Drosophila melanogaster: one gene and its partners. The protein of the gene in region 1 interacts with the protein of each later gene in a pairwise test. Each region holds a gene or a part of one and is shown in the gene's direction. Other genes may lie near its edges. The genes, in order: Hmx, Cda5, Nipsnap and Cerk.

Evidence for each region.
Region 2: the proteins of Hmx (region 1) and Cda5 interact in a two-hybrid assay, tested with the Drosophila melanogaster proteins (one large-scale study listed by BioGRID).
Region 3: the proteins of Hmx (region 1) and Nipsnap interact in a two-hybrid assay, tested with the Drosophila melanogaster proteins (one large-scale study listed by BioGRID).
Region 4: the proteins of Hmx (region 1) and Cerk interact in a two-hybrid assay, tested with the Drosophila melanogaster proteins (one large-scale study listed by BioGRID).

What each region holds. Positions count from the first base shown.
Region 1 is NT_033777.3:17,556,918-17,562,169, forward strand, and holds the start of Hmx (H6-like-homeobox), read left to right. Parts: upstream 1-2,012; 5' UTR 2,013-2,446; coding exon 2,447-3,276; intron 3,277-5,252. UniProt on the Drosophila melanogaster protein: Transcription factor involved in specification of neuronal cell types.
Region 2 is NT_033779.5:55,895-60,862, reverse strand, and holds the start of Cda5 (chitin deacetylase-like 5), read left to right. Parts: upstream 1-1,594; 5' UTR 1,595-1,673; exon of another isoform or gene 1,674-1,904; intron 1,905-2,131; exon of another isoform or gene 2,132-2,614; intron 2,615-2,669; exon of another isoform or gene 2,670-2,680; 5' UTR 2,681-2,712; coding exon 2,713-2,782; intron 2,783-4,968.
Region 3 is NC_004354.4:16,069,783-16,075,559, reverse strand, and holds Nipsnap (nipsnap), read left to right. Parts: upstream 1-1,991; 5' UTR 1,992-2,050; exon of another isoform or gene 2,051-2,128; 5' UTR 2,129-2,157; intron 2,158-2,277; exon of another isoform or gene 2,278-2,459; 5' UTR 2,460-2,477; coding exon 2,478-2,533; intron 2,534-3,659; coding exon 3,660-3,839; intron 3,840-4,028; coding exon 4,029-4,322; intron 4,323-4,382; coding exon 4,383-4,525; intron 4,526-4,691; coding exon 4,692-4,840; 3' UTR 4,841-5,195; downstream 5,196-5,777.
Region 4 is NT_033777.3:5,364,940-5,369,923, reverse strand, and holds the start of Cerk (ceramide kinase), read left to right. Parts: upstream 1-1,617; 5' UTR 1,618-2,003; intron 2,004-4,984. Other genes in the region: CG31542 (uncharacterized protein), read right to left, coding at 1-269, 329-332.

The sequences.
Region 1 (5,252 bases):
CTTTGATGGCATTTCCAATTTTCCCAAATGAGCGCAATCAAATCCGAGTTGAAATTTCCTCGAGAACAGAGCGAAACACAAATGAAATCATCTGAAGGTGCTGAGTGAACGCAATTTCCATTTGTGAATTGAGATTGAAATGGAAATGGGGCACCACCTAAGTGTCACTATTTCTGAAACCGTCGAGGTGGCCGGAATTCTTCCAATTCCCCACTCCATTGTTTCCCGGAAAAGCCCCGTCCCCCATTGGATTTATTTTTTATACACCCCCAATCCCACTCTAAAGTCTTACACGAAAACGAATCAAAAACAAGCAATGCACAGAGGGAAATTACGGAAAAATGTGTTACGGACGCAGGTGATGGCTCCGTCAACACACACACACACACACATGCACAGCTCCTCCAAGGGGAAATGGGAGGTGGTGGGTGGCAGATGGGGGTGCTGGGCGGGTGCAAGGGTGGCGCCTTGCCCTCAGCACGTGGAGACGCACTTTGGCAAAAGCAATCTTCTAAACAGGATAAATGTAATTGCGCATGAATTTCTACGCATATTTCGGCGTCGCTGTCTGAGCTGCAAATGTTTGTTACCCATTTGTTTGGTTGTGTTTTTTATGCTCGCTTTTCCCGTCGCTGAAAAGCGTTCTCCGACATTTCGAGGAGCTGTCACCCCATTGGCCCTCCACTGGCCACGCCCCCAAAGAGAGTGCTCTCTCCGGTCTCGCCGTCTCTCTCTTTCGACGGGTAATTGACTCGCATAATGTTTGTTTTGTTTTGAGCAAATCGTTTGCAACACTCTTTGAATGCCTCGTGGTTGTCTCATAAAAAGCGAAAGCATTTAAAAATTCAATTTGCCCTCTCTCTCATTCTCTCTCTCTCTAACTTTTTCTTGCTCTCACCCGCTCTTTTTCTGCAAAGTTTGCAGAGCTCCTTCGCAAAAATGGCCGCCTGTTCGCTTTTTGGGGGAGGTTTTCTCTTTGGGGAACGGAACGCTGTGGAATGAAACATGCTATAAGGTAGAAAGCTCAGAGATTCCAAATAAAAGAAGAAACGGGAATGCATTACAATGACATGAACGATACTAAATATAACTTAATACGTTGGGAAATTGCTTACATATTTTTAATTATTTAAATATAATTGTTGAAAATCTTTCACTTAATTTCTTAAGGATACCTTCTATCCTCGTATTTTTGATAATATCGTTTTTGATTAACGTTGTTCTTCACCATTTCGTTATCAAACATAATAAATACATTTGATATTTTATACATTTGATAACACCCACAAAACCTCTTTTACTTTTCTTTGCATAATTTATAAGTTGCTTGTTTATTTCTTTCGATATTTTAGCAATTCAATGATTTATCTATATCACCGAACCCCATTTGTTGAAACTTTCACCGCTCAATCTGCTAACCGCAAGGTTGCAATCGACTGGTGCATTTTCGGCACACACTTTTCTGGTCGAAAAAGTTTGCATCTGGCTGGCTGGGAAATTTCAATGGCGCCACAGAGCAACACTTGACCCCTGTTAGGTGGCAATTGATTGATTTTATATTGGCATTTCAATAGACACCAGCCGAGCGAAGCGATTCGAGTCGAGCCGAGTGCGCCCCCACTTTAGACGCGTTCCAAATGCCAAGTGTTTCCCATTCGGGGGGTAGGAAAACCAAAGCGCACTCCACCAGCACCGCAGAGAAAAAATAGTAAAGGAGGAAAATGCGAAAAGTGTCTGTCGATGCGGTTGCAGTGCAATTGTCGAAATAAACGAAAAGAAATTCCGAACTGCAAATGGAATGAAAAAGAGCGGCAGAAGGGGTGGGCCACCAGGCGGTGAAAGAGAGGGACAGCGAGAGCGATAGAGAGAGAGTGGGACACACCCTCCCAGGAGGGGTAGCAAATACGCAAGTGTGTGTGTGAGTGCGGAAAACCATTTAGCGCAAAGACCAAAAGAATTTGCAGGGCTGCCAGCCAACCACCTCAGTCTCAGTTTCAGTTCCACGCTCTCCGGACACGAGACCGGGGGTTAAAAATCCAGAGACTGAAACAATAAAAACACTAAACGATCGCTTTGCCACACACAAACACAAGCACACACACACACGCAGACACACACAAGCACTCGCATACATACAGAGACAGAAAGGACGAAGGACTCAGAACACAGAACTCAGGACTGCGTCTGTTAACAGCCGCATTTAAATTCAAATGCGAAACGTTGATCAAACGGTGCAGACGTGTTTCTCCCAACGGTAGCGCTCGGCGTTTTCCCTTAACGAGTTTTTCGTGGCACGACTGAAGTGTACAAGGTTTGGAAAATTCTTTATTTTCCTAACAAATATATATAAAACAAAAAAAAAAAAACACACACACAAGTGCAAGTTGAAGAACAAAAGTGCTGAATTAAACGTTTAAACTGCAAATCTAAGCAAAAATCTCAAGCTATGTCTTCCTCCGAGGCCGAAGTTGACATCAGTGTGGTGTCCAGTCCGGAGCCGAGTCCTTTGGGCGCCGCTGCCCGCGACAGTCCGCTGCTGGCCCGCTCGCCGGCCCGTTCCGCCGACGGCAGTTCGCCCCCGGCCACGCCTACCCATCGCTCCAATACGCCCAACACGGCCGCCGGCACGCCCACAACGTCCGCCTCGGGCGGCAATCACTTCCATCACAGTCCCAGCGGAGGCGCTGTGCCGCCGGCGGTGTTGCACCATCATCTGCAGCACCATCTGAGCAGCCTGGGCAGCCATCCGGTGGCGCTGCATCACGCGCTCCACACCTTTGGCCACTTGCATCCCGCCCACGGGGCCACACATCCCGCCCTGCTGCAGCACGCACTCACGCCCACCGGCCAGCAGCAGCAGCAACAGTTGCAGGTGCAGCAGCAACACCAGCAGTCGCATGTCGAGCGCCTTAGTCCGCCAATGAAGAGTCCGGAGCGGAATGGCGGCGATGAGGTGCAAGGACACAGTCTGAACAACAACAACAGTAAGGCCCTCAATCACAACAACACTTGCGCCTCGGCGGCCGCAGCGGCGGCAGCAGCAGCGGTGGCAGCGGCCAACCTGAGCAACAACAGCAACGACAGCAACGGGAGCAGCGGGGGCGGCGGCGGCAAGAGCACCACCGGCTCCAACGGATTCACCAGCTTCTCCATCTCCAGCATCCTGAGTCGCAGTGAGCCGGCCAAGAAGAACGGCGCCGCCGGACTTATCACTCCGATCCCGCAGTTGCCGCAACCAGGAGCCGGCGGTCCACAGGATGCGGCCATGTTGTCCAGGTAATTAAAAAACATTCCAGACTTGCTCTAGTCAAAAATAGCCCTCCCATTTCAAATGTGATTAATCTTGTAAATATGAAGTCGCCAAATTTAAAAATCTTAGTGTCAACATTTTACTTCAATTCATTTTAACAATTTAATCTGCAAAAATTTAGTCCATCCATCTGTCATATATAATTAGTTACTTCTGACGATATTCAGCTATTCCGCCTAATTTTGATCCGCAAGATATTTTAAAAAAATACAAACTCGAACTAAAATTTCATTCAAATTTTAACCCTATAATTACTGAAATTAAATGAGTATAATTTCATATGCCCAAGGATTTCCCATTGAATACCTTTTTTTGTAATAATAAAAATCACTCGTCTTAAGTACCATACCCATTTATTGCTCAGTGTAGGCGACCCAGATTAGGACGTTCGCCGGCGAACTGAAACCAAAAAGTCAAGCCTTGCCTCAATGAGCCCAAAACCCAAAGAGGCTGCCATTCCACTTGTTCGCCCTCGGGTTGGGCCAATTTTGTATAATCGTCCTAGGGGAAGACAAGGCAAGGTGACACAAATCTCTTCGCAGGAAGTGCACAAAGAGGAGAAATGGGATGGAGACGGACTGAGATGGTAGCCGGGAGATGGTCGATAAGACCGAAAATTGTTGGGCAAACGTTACACGAGACATTAAGTGGGTGAAGATGCAAATGGCTAAAGTACCATGCCATTGTGCTCCGAGAATCTAACGATTCCAAATTCCAGATGCCAGACAGATAAAGCAAATCCAATGGAACCGTTTTTAGTTGCACTGGACGCTAGCTGACCTCGAATATATGCAGAAAAGGTCTAAACCATTTTTGCCCTGCAATTTGGCCAGACTATCGAGTTACATAACATTTGTTAGATGAAATTTAATGCACCGCTTCGGGAATGAATGTAACCGACTGTCCGGCTGATTGACGGACTGACAATGCTCCAGTATCGTATGCAAAACGTGGTCCTTTCGAATGAATGAACCCTCAGTCCCTCCAAGCTGACCCACAAAAACTGGTACGTTTCTACAGCTGTTTGTTGTGCGAATGCAACTTATTGATACACAATGTGCACTGGAAATAAACAAGTCCGAGCTAATATTAACGGATTTTGTAAAATTTAATTGTGAAAAATAGCACTCGAAAAATGTACACCTACATAAATCTATATTTATTTAGGTACTATTCATTAAAGAGCTTATTTCTCTTGCAACATATTCCATTGATTCAATTTAAATTTGTCTCAGTGCAAATGCGTTTTTTATTCATTTCATTCATATCATAAACGCTGGCATATTAACCCCACTTAGCCGGCTTTTTGAGTCAGCGATCGAATTTCCAGGCAGCTCGATTAACGCATGTGTTGAATTAAAAAAAAAAAAAAACAACCAAGAGAATTTATAAGTTGCACTTTTATTTTACGAGAGAATGGGAGGGGGACTCCCCCAGACGTTTTAGTCCTCGAACTTTTTAATAACGATCATTTTCATTTCATTTACGCGTGCCCGCGTCGCTGATCGTCTCGATAAGGAAAGTCGGGCTGGTGGGCAGGTTCTGTGGCCGAGGGTCGCTACTGTCCCAGTCAACTGGACTGTGGCCCGTGCGTGGTTACCCCAATTAAGGACCTCGTCCTGGACAAAGTGTCGCCTCCTGCTGTTTGGCGCTAGCCCAGCTGACGTGTGGCTGCCTATGTGACTGGCTTATCAGTTGATCATCATCGGCCAGAATGATTAATGCCGGGGGGATATGAATACGAGTATGAGCACAGCAACATTGCTGAGTGATCGTTTAATAGTTTGAGCCGACTTTCTCCCGGCGGAGCTCGGCTTATTTTGACAGTTGCGCTTACGTTTTTAATTAGTCGCTGGGCTTTCTCTGCAGCCTGTACTTAATTACGATTCAGTTGGGCGAGCGAGCGGGGGATTCGAAAAAGTTGCGCAGCCAGATAGCAGGA
Region 2 (4,968 bases), on another chromosome or scaffold:
AGAAGAAATATTTGTTTCAGGAAACGGAGTTATTACGGTTCATTAATGAGTTTGCCAAATCGCCTGTTTTACCAAACGTGGCCAAAGTGTTCTTGGTATACCGATAGAAATTTACAAGGGTTATAATAAAATAAAAAAAAATCTCAAAAACTTTTTAAAAGTGTGCGCGTGGCAGCTTTTGGGGGTTTGTGGGCATTAGAAGGAACGCCGCCAAAGTGTTCTTAGTATAACGATAGCTATGGGCGGTCTGTGGGCGTAAGAGTGGGCGTGGAAAAAATGGATTTGGCAAATGAATATAAATTTACAAGACTGATGAAAATATACAAAAAAATATGCAACAATTTTTCAAAAATGTGGGCGTAGCAGTTTCGGGTTGCTTGAGGTCGTTACAGTGGGTGTGGCAACATGGGACAACAAACTTGCGCTGCGTCCATGTCACTAGAATATGTATGCTGAATCTCAACCTTCTAGCTTTAATAGTTCCTGAGAACTCGACGTTAATACGGACGGACAAGCCTGATCGACTCTGCCAATGGTCTTGATAAAGTATTTGTATATTTTATATGGTCCGAAACGTTTAGTTCAAGATACACTTCGTTACACACTTTTTAATATAGTAACGGAAATAATTAAATAATTTCCTAAACAAAGTCAAAAATATTCAATGCAACAAAACACCTCGCCCTCCATTCACAGAAAAAATCGTGTGAAACACAATCCAGCAAAAATAAATTAATAAATAAAGAATTAGATTAATTCGCATGCCTTGCTCAAACCATCAGCCATCGCCGTTCACCAGAACCCCTTTACTTCAGCTGTTGTTTTACAGCTTTTGCTTGGCTTTGGTTGGCTGCTTTGGCCTAGTTCTTGGTCGTTGCCATGTTTTCAACTCGGTTTTACTTTCAATTCTATGGTTCGAAATTGGCCACTTTACTTTAGACTTTAGAGTAAAGCTATATGTTGGGCATATAAATCGAATTTATCAAGGGCAATTCAGCTGGGTGGTATTAATTCTAAAAGTGATTGAGTGGTCTTCCTTCGATCCCATGCTTGACATGGATTCAAGTCCAAGCCCATGTTGAAGTAGTAAGCATTCTTTAATTTAAGCACCGTAATCCACTATCGAGCGATCCAGAAACCTGCTGCTAAACGAAAATGTAACGAAAAAGGTAACAACATTTCACAATCGCCTTGGTAAATAGTTTCCCAGCCTTCGTTGGCTAGAGGGTGGATATTGTTGTAGTTTCAGAAAACAATAAACAAAGCCCGCTCCCCGCTTGTAGATAGCTTGAAACTGATGGGGAGCTTTGGATGAAATTCTCAGTAAAATGTTGAAATTCACTAAGAATATGGGTCTGGACTACATTTTTCTGATAACTTGTATAACTTGTAAAACGTAGCAAAGCTGCAATGGCGCAAGCGTTAACTTTACTCTTACTTTCAAAAGCTTAAGAGATACAAACGACTCCGCGCGGGTGCAGCAACAACTTGAACAGTCTGTTAATGTAAAGTAACAGTCGGGGCCAAGCGTGGCGCAGACCAAGCTTGGCCCAAAAGCCAGACTTCGAAACTTGGTTGGCTGGCTGCGCTTGCCCAGAGTCTCAAGACACTCGTCCGCACAGTCGCGCTGTATAGTTGTTTCGATTAGGACGTGTGGTTCGCTTAAGCGCACGGTAAGCAGAGACGCTCGAGGGTCACCCGAACTTGTCAGGCGGTCTAAACTGTTTGCAATAAGCCACAATCAATTTTTGGGCTTTCGATTGCTAATTTATTTCGTAAACGCGTCGAAATAAAGTCCACCTCTGACTGGACATTGCAACCAGCCAAAAATTTAACATTTTGTAGAAAGCAGTTTTAACTGCATTTTGCAGTTTAGTCGAAGAGCTCAAGCGTGTGTGTCGGTGGTAAGCTAACTTTGCGTTAAAAAGAAAGTTTACGCTAAATATATATACAAGCTTCGACAAACAAAATAAAAACGTGCAGGTTTTGTTTTATTTTGTTTCGCATTTTCCTCTACGCGCTACAGACTAGTTCATACAGAGTTTTCCAATATGGAGGTGCCCGCGATACCGTACGGGAAATCTAAATCAAACACCGATCTTCGATTTGATCTCTTTGCATTTTTGTCTAGCAATCTTTTCCATGGTAACTACAAAACGAACAGCGGTCATTGCAGTCTCACGTGAAAGAAACTAAAAAACCTAACTAAAAATCGCTTGCCAAAAGCAATGGAGGAAAACTAAGTGTTGTAATCTGTAAACGTGTGTGTTAGCTATGCATCGTCGCGTTGGTTAAAGCCAAACGAAAGCTCGAATAATAGGGGCAGAAACTAAATCTGCTTACAACAATACAAACATGTCCTAACCAAGTGAAGGCACAGCCACAAAGCCGCAGTCGCGGCATAAGCCAGACACACCATTAAGAAAACTGTAACACAAGGCTCAAAAAATCTAAATTGAAAAATTGCGACACTGCCTTCTTAGTTATTTAGCAATTGTTTTCAACAAAACAGAGGTTTTCTCAACGGTAACTGCCTCCGTCATCGGTACGGTGGCTGCTGCTGCTCCCCACTTCCCGCGCTTCCAACCACTATTTTTATCCGAGCTTGCCTATGGTATTTTAAATTCTGTGAACTAACCCCAAAACGAAACTGAACCAACCACATCAAGAAAATTTACAGTTACAGTTACGACGACACGCCATACCTGCAATATGAAGTATTCAACAAGTCGAATAAACATTCTGTGCCTGCTGGGATTGTGCCTACTGCTTTTTAAAACAGGTGAGTAATGCCCACTTCAGTGAAGAACACTCTGCTAGAAATACAAATGGAGGCAAAAACTTAAAAGAGCAAAGGGCTTACACACTTTACCCACTAGTCCTAGAAGAGTTAGCACTTAACCAGATTTTAAGACAACCATGGATAAGTATTCAGTTCATGTATGAACTGAAATCTTTTTTTAAACGTAGATCCGAAAAAGTTTTATTTTTAAGTGAATTGTTTTTACAGTACTATGGATTCTTCTTTTCCTCAATCATATTCGAAACTTCGTGATAGAAATATTATGTTCCGCAAATAAAGCCAAACTTGTTTTGAACACTGTTCCGGCTGCCATGTACGAGCTCGCAATAGTCTAATGTCAAATTCAATCACCGTAGAAGAAGTCAAACCACCAGCTGTTAACCACTTGTGTTGAGCTCTATTGTGGATACTCCGGCTCCGGCTAAACGAGTTTCTTAATATGTCCAAAAATGTATATTTATTTTAATATATATATATATATATATATATTAAGACATTTTACTGCGAAATGTGTTAGGATATATAAAAAGTAAGAGTATTTACATTAGGGTATGTATGGAGGTAAATACATGGTCTGATCAACTGCTCTATTTACCAGCGAACAATAACATAATCAAGCATTTCGACCATAACAAGCCTTACCGTGTCCAACTATTGGTCACTTGGGCTGTCTACTCACCATACTGCTGGGTAATGGTAATGGAATTATGTAAGTTATCAGCCAGCAGCCAACCAAGCAGCTTATGACACAGATATTAATTGCATACAGCTCGCTGACTCGATTGAATAGGTTCACTAAGTGAGTGAGTGTATCGGTGTAACCGAGCAAATTGTGGCTATAATAACTGTTGATAATTTTTAAAACAGTTTGCTTAATTGTTCAGACATTTTTTATGAATGATATATATGCAAAATTTGAGAAAACAAATTGGGAACTACGAAAATTGCTTAGATAACGTGGTAAGGATTAACACTATTAAAATTATAATAACAGCATTAGACGGCTAAATTGTTTTGAGATAGATTTTTTGTATTACCTTTGTGGCCTTATAAAGTGCATATATGTATCTTATTCATAACATATTAGTAAAAACAGCGAACTTGAAATAGCCAAGCCCGGCTGTCCGATCGTCCTCTTTTAAACAATTTATAATCTATCTGCTATACCGATTCGGTCGTTGATACTTAGCAAGAAATATATATACCATATATGGGCACAATTGTGTCCTTCACAGCTTTGAAATTTCTGACTTAAGTGAATGTACCCTCCGCAAGGGTATGAAGACTTGCATGACTTGGTTTAGGCATAGTGGCAACACTTTCCATTTTGATGAACTTTCTCAGTGTTTTGAGTGGTGTTTTTTTAAGCCACAGAAATATATATTTGGGTAAAACCTTAGATATGCCGCCATGGAAATATTTTCATGCGTAATTGCTAGGAAATTTGTGTTAAAACATTTGATGTACTACTGGTTTAATGCGAATGTCGATGGCTGAAAGAAAAAGGTTTGAGGCGGACGAGGCCAATGGCGAAAGTTGAACATTTGCAAGAACATTTGTTTAAGCGCGTGTTTAATGAATAGTATAACAAAGGGGTTTTAATCATAATTCAGTTTCAATGCCAGTTAAACCATTAGTATGGTGGTCACGCCTCGACCTAATCATTTCGTCTCTTTTTTACCGCAGGCAGTGTCAATGCTTACCGTGCGAAAGTTTTGGCGCACGCGGAAGATCGTCATTAAATTACTTCGCTAGGTCTTTGACTGTAACCTGAACACTTTATACGAGCATGTACGACCATTGGCATGGCGCAACTTTGTTTTGCATGCACACAGTGCACTTTCGCTTTCAAGCAGTATTCCAGCGAGTCTGAGGCAAGCTTGAATAAATTTGCACACAGCAATGGTAATCCCTGGATTTCGCAAGGCTCCAGATAATTTGCGTTGAATTGGACGTCGAAATTGTTGTCGGCACAGTACGAGGAGTACCAATAGACTACCAAACGGCAACACCCAACTTTTCTTAGCTTCTGCGCCTGCCCTTACAAGCTTGTTGTTTACGGCGCTACTCACCTTGAAATGCTTACGCATTACAGTTGAAAATTATTTTTGCTACGAAATGGGCAATCTATTAAAACATTGCGTTAAGCCGACGACGTCCATATC
Region 3 (5,777 bases), on another chromosome or scaffold:
AAGGCATATGTTTATATGTATGTATATTGAAAAGAAAAAAAAAACAACGTGAAAATTATAATTAAAGGCTGAGAAGTCATACATACATACATTCACTGCATATGTACGTATTATGTTTTAAACTTCAACTCGAATAGATTTTGGTACCGATTGATATATGTATGTACATATATGGCTTTCGTTGAACAGAAAAATCCGAAAGAGAAAGTAATTAAATTAATGCATATCAGTGATTACAATAACGATGTACATACATGCAAAACAATAACAAAATAATGTATATGTGTGACCTCATTAGCACACAATAATCGTGTATGTATATCTATTCTTAGTACCGAACTATTCAATCAATTTAAAACCCCTTACGTGTGTGAAAATAAACATAGAGGTTAATAATATAAAATGTATGTACTATGTATAGTAACAAATATAACTTCCATATGAGTATTTTTCGTATTACCTTTAGTAGAATAAAGATTATCGTATAATTAAAACGCATTGTTTATAAAAAAAAAACAGTGATCTGCTTCGATCACCGACTTAAACAATTGGATATTGTTAACAAAAAGCAAAAAAAAAAAAAATGCAAAAAAAGAGTTTGATGTTTTCTCCGCACTGTTGCATACTTATTCAGTATTCTGAGAACAGATGTCCTTTTACAAGATTAGTACTCACGGCAAAATAAAAGCTCAAAAACGGTACCTACGGGTACGTACCAAGGTAAATTAGTTGAGTACTTTTTACCTTACCTATGTAAATAAATAAATTAATACATTTTACCCTTCCTAGGCACGGATTTTGATTTTCACCGCGTACTCGTCGTGATTTTAAATTATTGAAATCGTTTCTAGATTTGGATTACTTTTTTATCCCCGTTTACGTATACGTAATATATTTAGATTTCAGGAATCGTAAATTAACAGGTATGAATTGAAATAAAAATAACTTTTACTTACCACCGCTTTATGATTATGTACACTTTTTAGCTTCTTGCTCAAATAAATTATTTAATTATATTTCCTTCCTTTGGCCGATATATTGAGAAATGCTATTTTTAATTTCACTTTTAACTCAGGTATGTATTAATGTACGCCCGAGTGTATAAAAACACAAAATGTAACCGTTTTAATCACCGGCGAAGGTAGAAAACGAAATGGAATTTAAAGCAAACGGGCGGAGAAGTAAAGCAGAACAAAAATGTTCGTTTTCGCCATTTTCTTTTTTTGGTCCACTTTTCAGGTGTATTTCATTTTGAAATTTATAGCAATACATTTTATATATATATTCGCAAAAAGTATTAAGCATACAAAAGTGGTTGTCGGGTTTTAATAAATAAGCAAGCATTATAAATATGAACTCTATATAACCGCGCTCAAATTTAAAACACAAATCAAACCGATATGCTCACTTACGCACACACACATATGTATGTACTTCTCCGCGGAAACGTGTGTGCGTGAACTATATAACCGCGCTCAAATTTAAAAAGCAGATCAAGCCGAGCTGCTTACTTACACACACACACATAAGTATGTACATATGTACTTCTCGGCACAAACGCGTGTGCGTGTAAATCACATAATTAAATCGTTTAAAGAAAAGTAATGAGTTAAAATGCGTTTAGCAGTGTGCGATCACTCATTGATTATCATTTTAACAAACTTTCAGTACTTTTTAATACCGAAAAACATTAAAACTGATTTAATTCATTTTGGCACGCCGAACCGCCATTTTTTCTATTACCGATGCTCGCGAAGGAAGAAAACGAACTGAACGAGGATAGGAGCTTTCAGATCGGACTTGAGCATGAGAGCGGCCAAGAAGAAGAGTGGTCCTAGATTAACAAAATGACCCATTTTCGCTTTAAAAACTATGAATTTCAAAGTCAGCTTTTAAACAAATTTGAAATGTAACGTAATTAATTCAGAGTGACCGCAAAAAACTAAAACACCTTATCGCTATAGCATGCAATCGAAAAGACGACTACTTTGTTAACTCTTAGGTCCATATCGATAGCCAAGCGCATGGACGCGATATATCGATACAATCGGTCAGTGGTTAAGACAGCTCTACTGCATATTATTTTGTTTTCTTTTAACGTTAACATTTCATTTAAATATTATTTTAGTTTGTAACACTCCCGCAAATAACTATAAAGTGAGTGCTAGTGTGGAAAGAGAAACATTTATTATTTTTCCAAAATAATTGCTGAATTTAAAGCGGGTGGGGAAATCGGACAGAGTTGAAACGAGAGAACGCTCTACATTCTCTATTATCAATGCTACCATAGACCATGTACCGGCGCACTTGTTAAAATGACTCTGACTTCACCTTGACTAAAGTACACATAATGTACACACATTGCAGTGGTAGAGATGGCGAATCGGGATGATAACAGTTACTGATTTTATTTTCCAGTTTTCACCCCATATCGCTCTATATACATATATACTCGCCAGATCCTACATAAATCGAAAATGCTTAAGCTACGTAATCTATTGGCCGTCGGCAAAAGCAACAACAACGCTGTCCGGTAAGAAAAACAACATGAATATACTATAAAAAATGAACACAAAAATTGCCCACAGCTGAGTCCATTTACATATTTGATCAGTGTTGCCGAGTAGGCACAGGTACCTGTACCTGGATATCAGCTTGTGGCACTTATTAATTGCCCAGATTCGTGGAATCCAAATGAAATATAGGCAATGAATATATACTCGTATATTCAAATTTTTTAGATTGAAATAACAAAATTAATTCTTAATTCTTACTTATTTATATATAAATAACAGTATTTATAAGGATCTTAAAATAATGATATTTAATGGTATTCATATTCAATTTTCCTCCAGCCTAGGGGTTCATTTTTATTAACATTATGTTTTTCAACTACTAGTCATTTTAAGTCTTTTAGATTAAATATATTATTCACGAATTCCCTAAACTCATGTTATTAAATTTACGCAGAGTAGTTGTTGCTTACTCATTTTCCAAGCCGTCATACTTAGCATTAAGAGTACCTACCAGGTACCGTCCTTGTAGGTACACAAATCGCGTACCCTTTCCAGCACTAGCATTCACACTCCTACACGTTAATATGTATGTTTGGTTCCAATTTCGTACGTATACATCCATACATAAATGAAAATGCCGTTGCGACGTCAGCAAAGCAAAAACGTATACAAAAACAAAATAAACACGACGGTGCGAATTTTAGTTACCCTTCATGTATGAAATGCCGTACTATATATGCATTTTGTATTTTTAAGTTATGAATACATTTGCCCCTGGAAAATTCGAAAAAGTTAATAATACGCAGGGGTAGCTTTTCTTAATTTGTAAGTTCAGTGTAAAGGAAATAGCGTTCTCCTTATTTATCTATTTTTTGCCCACGGTCCAATTCAATTGGCCTACTTATAGCTAATATTGATAAGTGGCCTTCCAAAAATTGAATATTATATCTTCGATCTGAAAGATAGACTTATTAAAAACGTTATCTAGAGAGTTTGGACTTAGAACATATCATTTAAAAATGTATTTTTAGGTATTACCAATATATCTTACCTTATACAGAATACAATTAAGATATTGTAAGTTTATTTTGTAATTGTTTATTATGCCAACCTTTTTAAATTACCCATTATTGATACTTTTAGCTCTCTGTCCACCACTCCGAGCCGCAACGATTCAGAATCATGGTTCTCAAAACTGCTCGTTCGGAAAATAGAACCAACCAAGGAGTCGCACAGTCGAATGCTCAGCGATAAGGAAATCATATATGCCCTTCATACCCACAACGTCAGGCCCGATTCCATGGGCAGCTACTTAAATAACTAGTAAGTGACTGAAATTTAACGTCCTTAAAAGGTGCCTAAAAGAACTAAATAGGTGCAGAGTACTCAAAGCTAAAGAATAAACATTGAAAGCGTTGTCCATTTTCGATAGCATACTTTCAAACACATTTCCGGGTGGTTTTAAATCCCGAAAGTAGCATAGATTGTTAAAAGTACCCTTACCTTTTACAGCAAAACTACTGTCGCTTTGATCAACGAGAAGAAGGCAAACCTTTCCTGCGAATTGGTGGCATCATGGACGGTTCAAGTGGGCGACATGGATCAGTGCCTGCACCTGTGGAAGTACACAGGAGGCTTCGAGAAGATAGATCAGGCCAAAGAAGACCTTTGGAACGATCCCGAGTATCTTAGCTTGATGCAGGAGCGTTCCAAGTTCTTGCGCTCCCGTCATCTGCAATATCTCTTGGCATTCAGCTACTGGCCGCAAATTGCCAGTCGTACCGGCAAGAACATTTACGAAATGCGGTATGTTGCAGAGTATTTTCAATTCAAAAATGCATAGCTAAATTAACCCAATTGTCTCAGCTCATACCGACTGACACCTGGCACCATGATTGAGTGGGGAAACAACTGGGCCCGCGCCATCAACTATCGCAAGCACAACAACGAAGCATTCGCCGGATTCTTCTCGCAGATCGGAAGACTGTACAATGTTCATCACATTTGGTGTAAGTGATAGATAGTATAATTAAAAGATTTGAGTAATTTGAGTTTCATTGCCAAATACGTTTAGAATGGTTTAAAGGATATTTTAAGCCACTAGCAATTTTTGAAGCCATATTTTTATATAAGCTGTAAAGCAAACATTAATATTTGCTCTTCTTTTCAAAATAGGTTACAAATCTCTGCAAGACCGTAAGGAGACCCGGGAAGCAGCCTGGCGATCCCCCGGATGGGATGAGTGTGTGGCCTACACGGTGCCATTAATCCGCGAGATGCACTGCCGTGTCCTGGCGCCCACTGAGTTCTCGCCCTCACAATAATTAGCACTGGGTGTTGCACTTTCTAGCGTTCTGAGAAATTGAAGTTCATCGACGATTGGACAAATTAGCTGTGAAAACACCGAGAACGCATCTTCGCCTATTTTCCTGTTGAATAGTTATTGTAAATAATGCCAGCTACATATGCAATCATTTAATTTTTTTTTTAAGTATAATTAAGGTCAAAGTGGAAATTTCTATCCAACATTTTTACGAACCTCTATGTGTGTATCGCCTACGACCTTTGAATTTAACAAAACCAATTTTGTTTTTATAAAATAAAGCAATTATGAAACTGTTATAAGTTAGTTTTTAAAACAGATCCCAAAATATAGTAAATGGTATTGGATATTAATTGAAACATCTCTAATAAAATGCAGAACCACCCAATTCCGTAATTACAAACAGCAAAATAATAGGTGATGAAAAAGTAGTATACCGCATAAAGTTTTAATCAGATCGTTGTTTTCTTGAAAAAACTTGTTATCCTGTGAATTAGTGGTATAACATAATAATAACGTATGATACATTTGATTTGCCTGCTTAGTTGCTCAAACTTAATTAATGCACATATTCTATGAACTTTTAAAAGTCACAGAAAATTAAACGAAATATTTTGCTATCCCCGCCAGTTTCTTAACTCTTTAAGAGGCATCATATAACATGTGTGCGATATTTCAACATCATCACTAAATTAACTAGAAAAAAAGTTCGAGAAACTTTTTTTTTTAAACCATTGGGTTTTTGGCTCTTAGGAATCTGGAATTGTTATTATGTCATCTTTTTGCCTAATTAATTCAATTCTAAACAAATTTTTAAGAATATTTGTCCAAACAAATTTAAAGTCTTATACACCGTAGGCACTATAACAAAAATATGTAATGAAATCACCTTCTGATTCTCAACTTTAAAACTAAAACCGTTGTTTAGAACCAGCCAA
Region 4 (4,984 bases), about 12 Mb from region 1:
GCTACGGTTCTGAGTGCACGTGCACTCCACGGTGGGGGCTCCCCGGCTCTGGTAGAGGCTGCATGCGGCGGGATCGCCCGGCGGCTGCGTCGAGTTGACCTGGCACCCGCCTGCTCCCTGGCCCCGCGGACCCGGATAGGGACAGCTGTCCGGCTGCTGCTGCGGCTGGTGGGCGTACGAGGGGGGTGGCCTGTGGGGCGGCTGCTGGGGGGGTGGGGCTCCGCCGCTGGTGCCGCAGGGACAGTTGTTGCACTTGCCACACGGAGACGCTGCTGGCGGAAGGATTAGCGCGCTGCGGGTGGCGGTCTACAGTCCATTTGATACTCACACATTTTCCGAAAGTTAGGGCTTAGGTGTAATTAATTGTCCCTACAGGCTGTCCTACAAGCTGGTAAATCAAAACTGACAATTCCGGATCGAGATCTCTAATCGGGTTTTGTATACCCTGCGTTCTTTGCATTCATTTACGCTTTAAAAAGTTTGTATGACCAAATATATCTATAAATTAACAGTTTGAAAATAATTATCAATAGCACTCCATTAGATTACTTATAAACTTATGGACTCCACTGGTTTAGTTAAGCCCAATTAATGTTTAAATTTCTGCAGTTTTATTTGGAATTAACAAAAAAAAAAAAAAAAAAAAGTATAGTCGTATGTCCTATTACCAAATAATAAAAAGAGAAAGCTGAAATCATGAGAACGCTTTGGTCGAATGCCCGAACTATTGCTTATCCTAAGTTTTGCCTACTTTTCTTATAATTCAATTTACCTTACACTCTTCGAGTAACGAAAATAACAAAAGCGAACACGAAATTAGGATGACCAGGCTATCAGATACCTAGTATCAGATGTCTCTTAAAACTATTTTAAAATTAAATGTACGAAAGTAATATTCTACTAAAGTGCAACCTATTGAAATAGATTCCAGCGGAAATCCCGAGGAATTTCGAAATTAAATGCAGGAGAATTCCTTGATAATTTATGTATAATGTATGTACGCGTAACAATCACTTCGCCAATCGGATTTAAACAAAAGTGAAAAAAATTGATTATAAAATAATTCTTAACATTTTAAATTTATTTTTTCCTTTTTTGGTTCCTGGATGAATATCTTATCCGTGAGTCTAGGAGTATGACCTTGAGCAGTTGTTGTGTCTTCTGCAAATTGACAAAATGGCTATATTGGCCACCAACCAATTTTGAACCCGACTGAACTCATAGCTGAACTACTTTACCTGGAAGAAGTCCGGAGTCCCCACATCGACACAAGGACCAACCGTAACCCGCTGGAGACTCCCGCCCAACACGGTGTCATTGGTGACCGTTGAGCAATTGCTGCAAGCTGCGCAGCTAATGTTGTTGGTTATCTGGCGGCTGCAGTAGAGTTTTGGGATGATGTGGATGCTGGGATGAGTGATTTGATCCTGGGGAGTAGTGTATTAGTAGTGTAGTATTTAATGGTGAGAAAACTTAAAAAAAAATATCGGGCACAGTTATTTTTGGGTGAAGATGCCGTTAATTTTAAGGTAGCCCTAGTTCTCGCCAGACTTGAGAATACCCCAGACCAAACTATGTGGTATTTCAATCAAGTCAGGTGGTCTGCCTCGTATTTTCCACAGTTATATGTACGGTCACACTGGCGAGCGGACGTACACTTCGCTTCGATTTGTCCGCCTGTGTTTTTTGTAACGGCCACGGAAGTGCATTTCTGGTGTTCTCGTAAATTCTTTGTGCTCCAGCGAGTAGGGGGTGGAAAGTGTGGCTAAAACGGGAAACCGGGAGATGCCGAAACGCCATTAGCACCAATTGCACGTCGGCTATTTTCCAATTGTGTGTGTGCATTTGTTTGTGTGCAAGCGAAAAAGTGCAAGTGTGCGAAACTGCAATGCACATCCGTATCGAGTTTTCTTGATTTCCCCATAAACAGACGGAAAAACAGCGCAACGACTTCGAAAGTGCAGCCGTGTTTGTATGGATAAACGTTCCTACCTGGCCACCAGGTGAGTTCCCCAACCAGTTCACACTGGCACTCCAATTGGAAGAACGGACTAGGATCGAGAATAAGTAGGTACACGAGCACCCAAGTTGGAATTAAACGCAGAGAACTCAAGCCAGACGCACATACCCCCACACGCACGCACACACCCTTACGCCTGTATACACACATGTTCTTGTCAACAGCTGAGTTGTTGGTGCTACACAGCTGTATTGCGTTGCGATAACGGCACCCGGAGTATGGAAATGACAGCTGTCCCTGTCTGCACCACCCCACCCCCCCCCCCCTCCCAGGGTGCTATACCCTTCTGACGCACTGCGGCTAGAGCAAGCGAACCGGGACCCTTCGGTGTATATGTGCACTGTTATTGTTTTGGTGGTGCAAAGTATCGATGTCGATGCTGCGATACTTATTCCTTGGGAAAGAAATGTCTACTTCTATGGGTTAAATTGGATTTCAGGGACCTTAATTAATAATAATTTAATGACCTGCCAAGCATAGATTGCAAGTAAATAGCAACTAAAAAATAAGTATCTACTTTGTTTTCATTTTTACTCATATACTAATAGTTTATTTTAACATAACAATGTATTCTGGGAATTGGCAGAAAACCTATTCGTGTACCTATTTCCTTTGATCTTAGCAGACCATCTGCGCTATAGCACTGAATAATGACCCCTCACGTGTCAAAGGGAACTTGCCCCAAGTTATTTATAATATTTTGTAGCTTTGCTTTTGCTATTTTGGCTGTGAGGTGCGTGCACCGTCGAAAAGGTCAGACATGGGCTGATGTCTGGCAGCTATAAAGCGGGTCAAGATTGAATAACGCTCAAAAGGGTGAAACGAGATAAATGGTGGAGGGGTTGACGATTCTAATAATGTCAGTAGTTCTGGAGTTTAAGATTGACGTATTTGTTTGTATTTCGTACATATCTACAGCTGTGTTCAGAAAATAGCAGTGCGAAGGAAACTAAGTAATACAAAGGTATTTTTCCATGTCCTTTTTCGGAATCGACTTTTTATTCCACTTATTTTTGTTAAATTGAATGTGTAGATAGGAAAAAAAAAGAAAAGCCGGTTAGTTTTTCTTGTTATCCTTTTTTTATTTACATTCTTGAGCAAAATCGCAATTTTTAGGCTGTTCATAAGAATAGCAGTGCCTGGTTTTGACCAACGTAAAGTTCCGAAATGATCATTATTTTCTAAAAAGTGAGTTTGGTTAAGTTAATTCGTATATTTAAAAGGGCAAAAAATTAAAAAAAAAATTTTAAATTATATTTTAGTGGGTGGAGGACAGCACTGCTCCCAGGAGAAAAGAATGTTAATTCTTAAGCTTAGAAAGGAAGGAAAAGCATTAAGGACATTCAAAAAACTCTTGAATGTGCTGCCAAAATGGTATCCAATACCATTAAATATGAATGGAAGCCCGAAAACCGTGGTACCAAACGTAAAACCACAGAGATAGAGGATCGACGCACAGTTCGTTAGAGCAAAGCCTATCCTTTTGCATCCTCTAGGGACATAAAGTCTGAGCTGAACTTGGGAATCAGTGACGTTAAAATTTCAGTGCGAGGAGTCCACGAAAGGTTCCCCCACTTAGCCCAAGGCTTATTCAGGCAAGGTTTACCTTCGCTAAAACCTACCGAAACTGGCCAGTCTGCAAATGGCGTAATATCCTTTAGACTGATCGGTCAAAAATAGTGCTATTTGGTGGAAGTGGTTCACTACAGTATATCTAACGACCTCCAAACACGGAGTACCACCCAAAACACCCACTGAAGACTTTCAATCACGGTGGACCTAAAATCCTGGTATGGGCTTGTTTTTTTACAATGGTTATGAGTCCATAACATATGATTTATGGTATTATAGACCAAAACGCATATGTAAATATACTTAGTGATGTCTTATTGTCATATTCTGAATATAATATGCCCTTAAAATGGACATTCCAACAGGATAATGATCCGAAACGCAGATGCAAATCGGCTAAGAATAGGTTCACCCAAAATGGAATAGATGCAATGCCGTGGTAAGCACCATCTTCCGATTTAAGCCCGATTGAAAACCTGTAGGGGGACATTAAACAATATGTGTGGAAGAAGTCCCCGACGTCTAAGGCTCAGATTTGGCAAGTTGTGCAGGATGCATGGGCAAAAATTCCTCCCAAACGTTGCCAGGACCTGGTGGACTCCATGCCGCGTGGGTGTAAGGCTGTGCTGGCTAACAAAGGCTATCCAGCCAAGTATTAGGCCCGAATTAACATATTAAAAAGAAAGACTAAGTTCGTTCTAAGTCAAGTTGAATTTTGTTACTATTTTTTCATAGCACTGCTATTTCATTGAAAACCAGAATTTCTGCCTATTATGTTGTTTTAATCTATATTTTCGAAACTATTAAAGAAATAAAAGCGAAACATTTGTTAAATTGTTTGAAATTAAATACCTAATGATATTATAAAAAAAAATTTCCCATTAAAACTGTAAATCATAAGAATTTTTTATCTTAAACACTCAAGTCCAAAGCACTGCTATTTTTCTTAACACAGCTGTACATATATCTAGAGCATTTCCCCTCCATGTCATTCGAACTTTTTGTGTGGTTATCAATTTACCCGCTAGTTTACATTTCCGCAATGTGTCTGTCTTTTCCTTCTTCACATCGACCTACATGTACTAGACTTTTTCGCTTTGTTAAATAATTACTGCTGTCATGTGCTTCTTAGATGTTGGCGTGAGTCAACGAGCTCAAAGTTAAAAGAAATCGGACACAGTTCTATTAGTTCTGTTTATGGTACAGGCATTTAAATTATAAACAACTCGGTCTATAGATAAACGAAAGTATTGATTAGGCCTTCAGAGCTCTGATATACATATGTACGTAAAATCCGGCCCACTAACTCCCACGTTGCAAGTTAACCGAGACTTGATGTCATCAATCTTATCGAACCTTGTATAGCACATAGCATGTATATTGTATAGCATA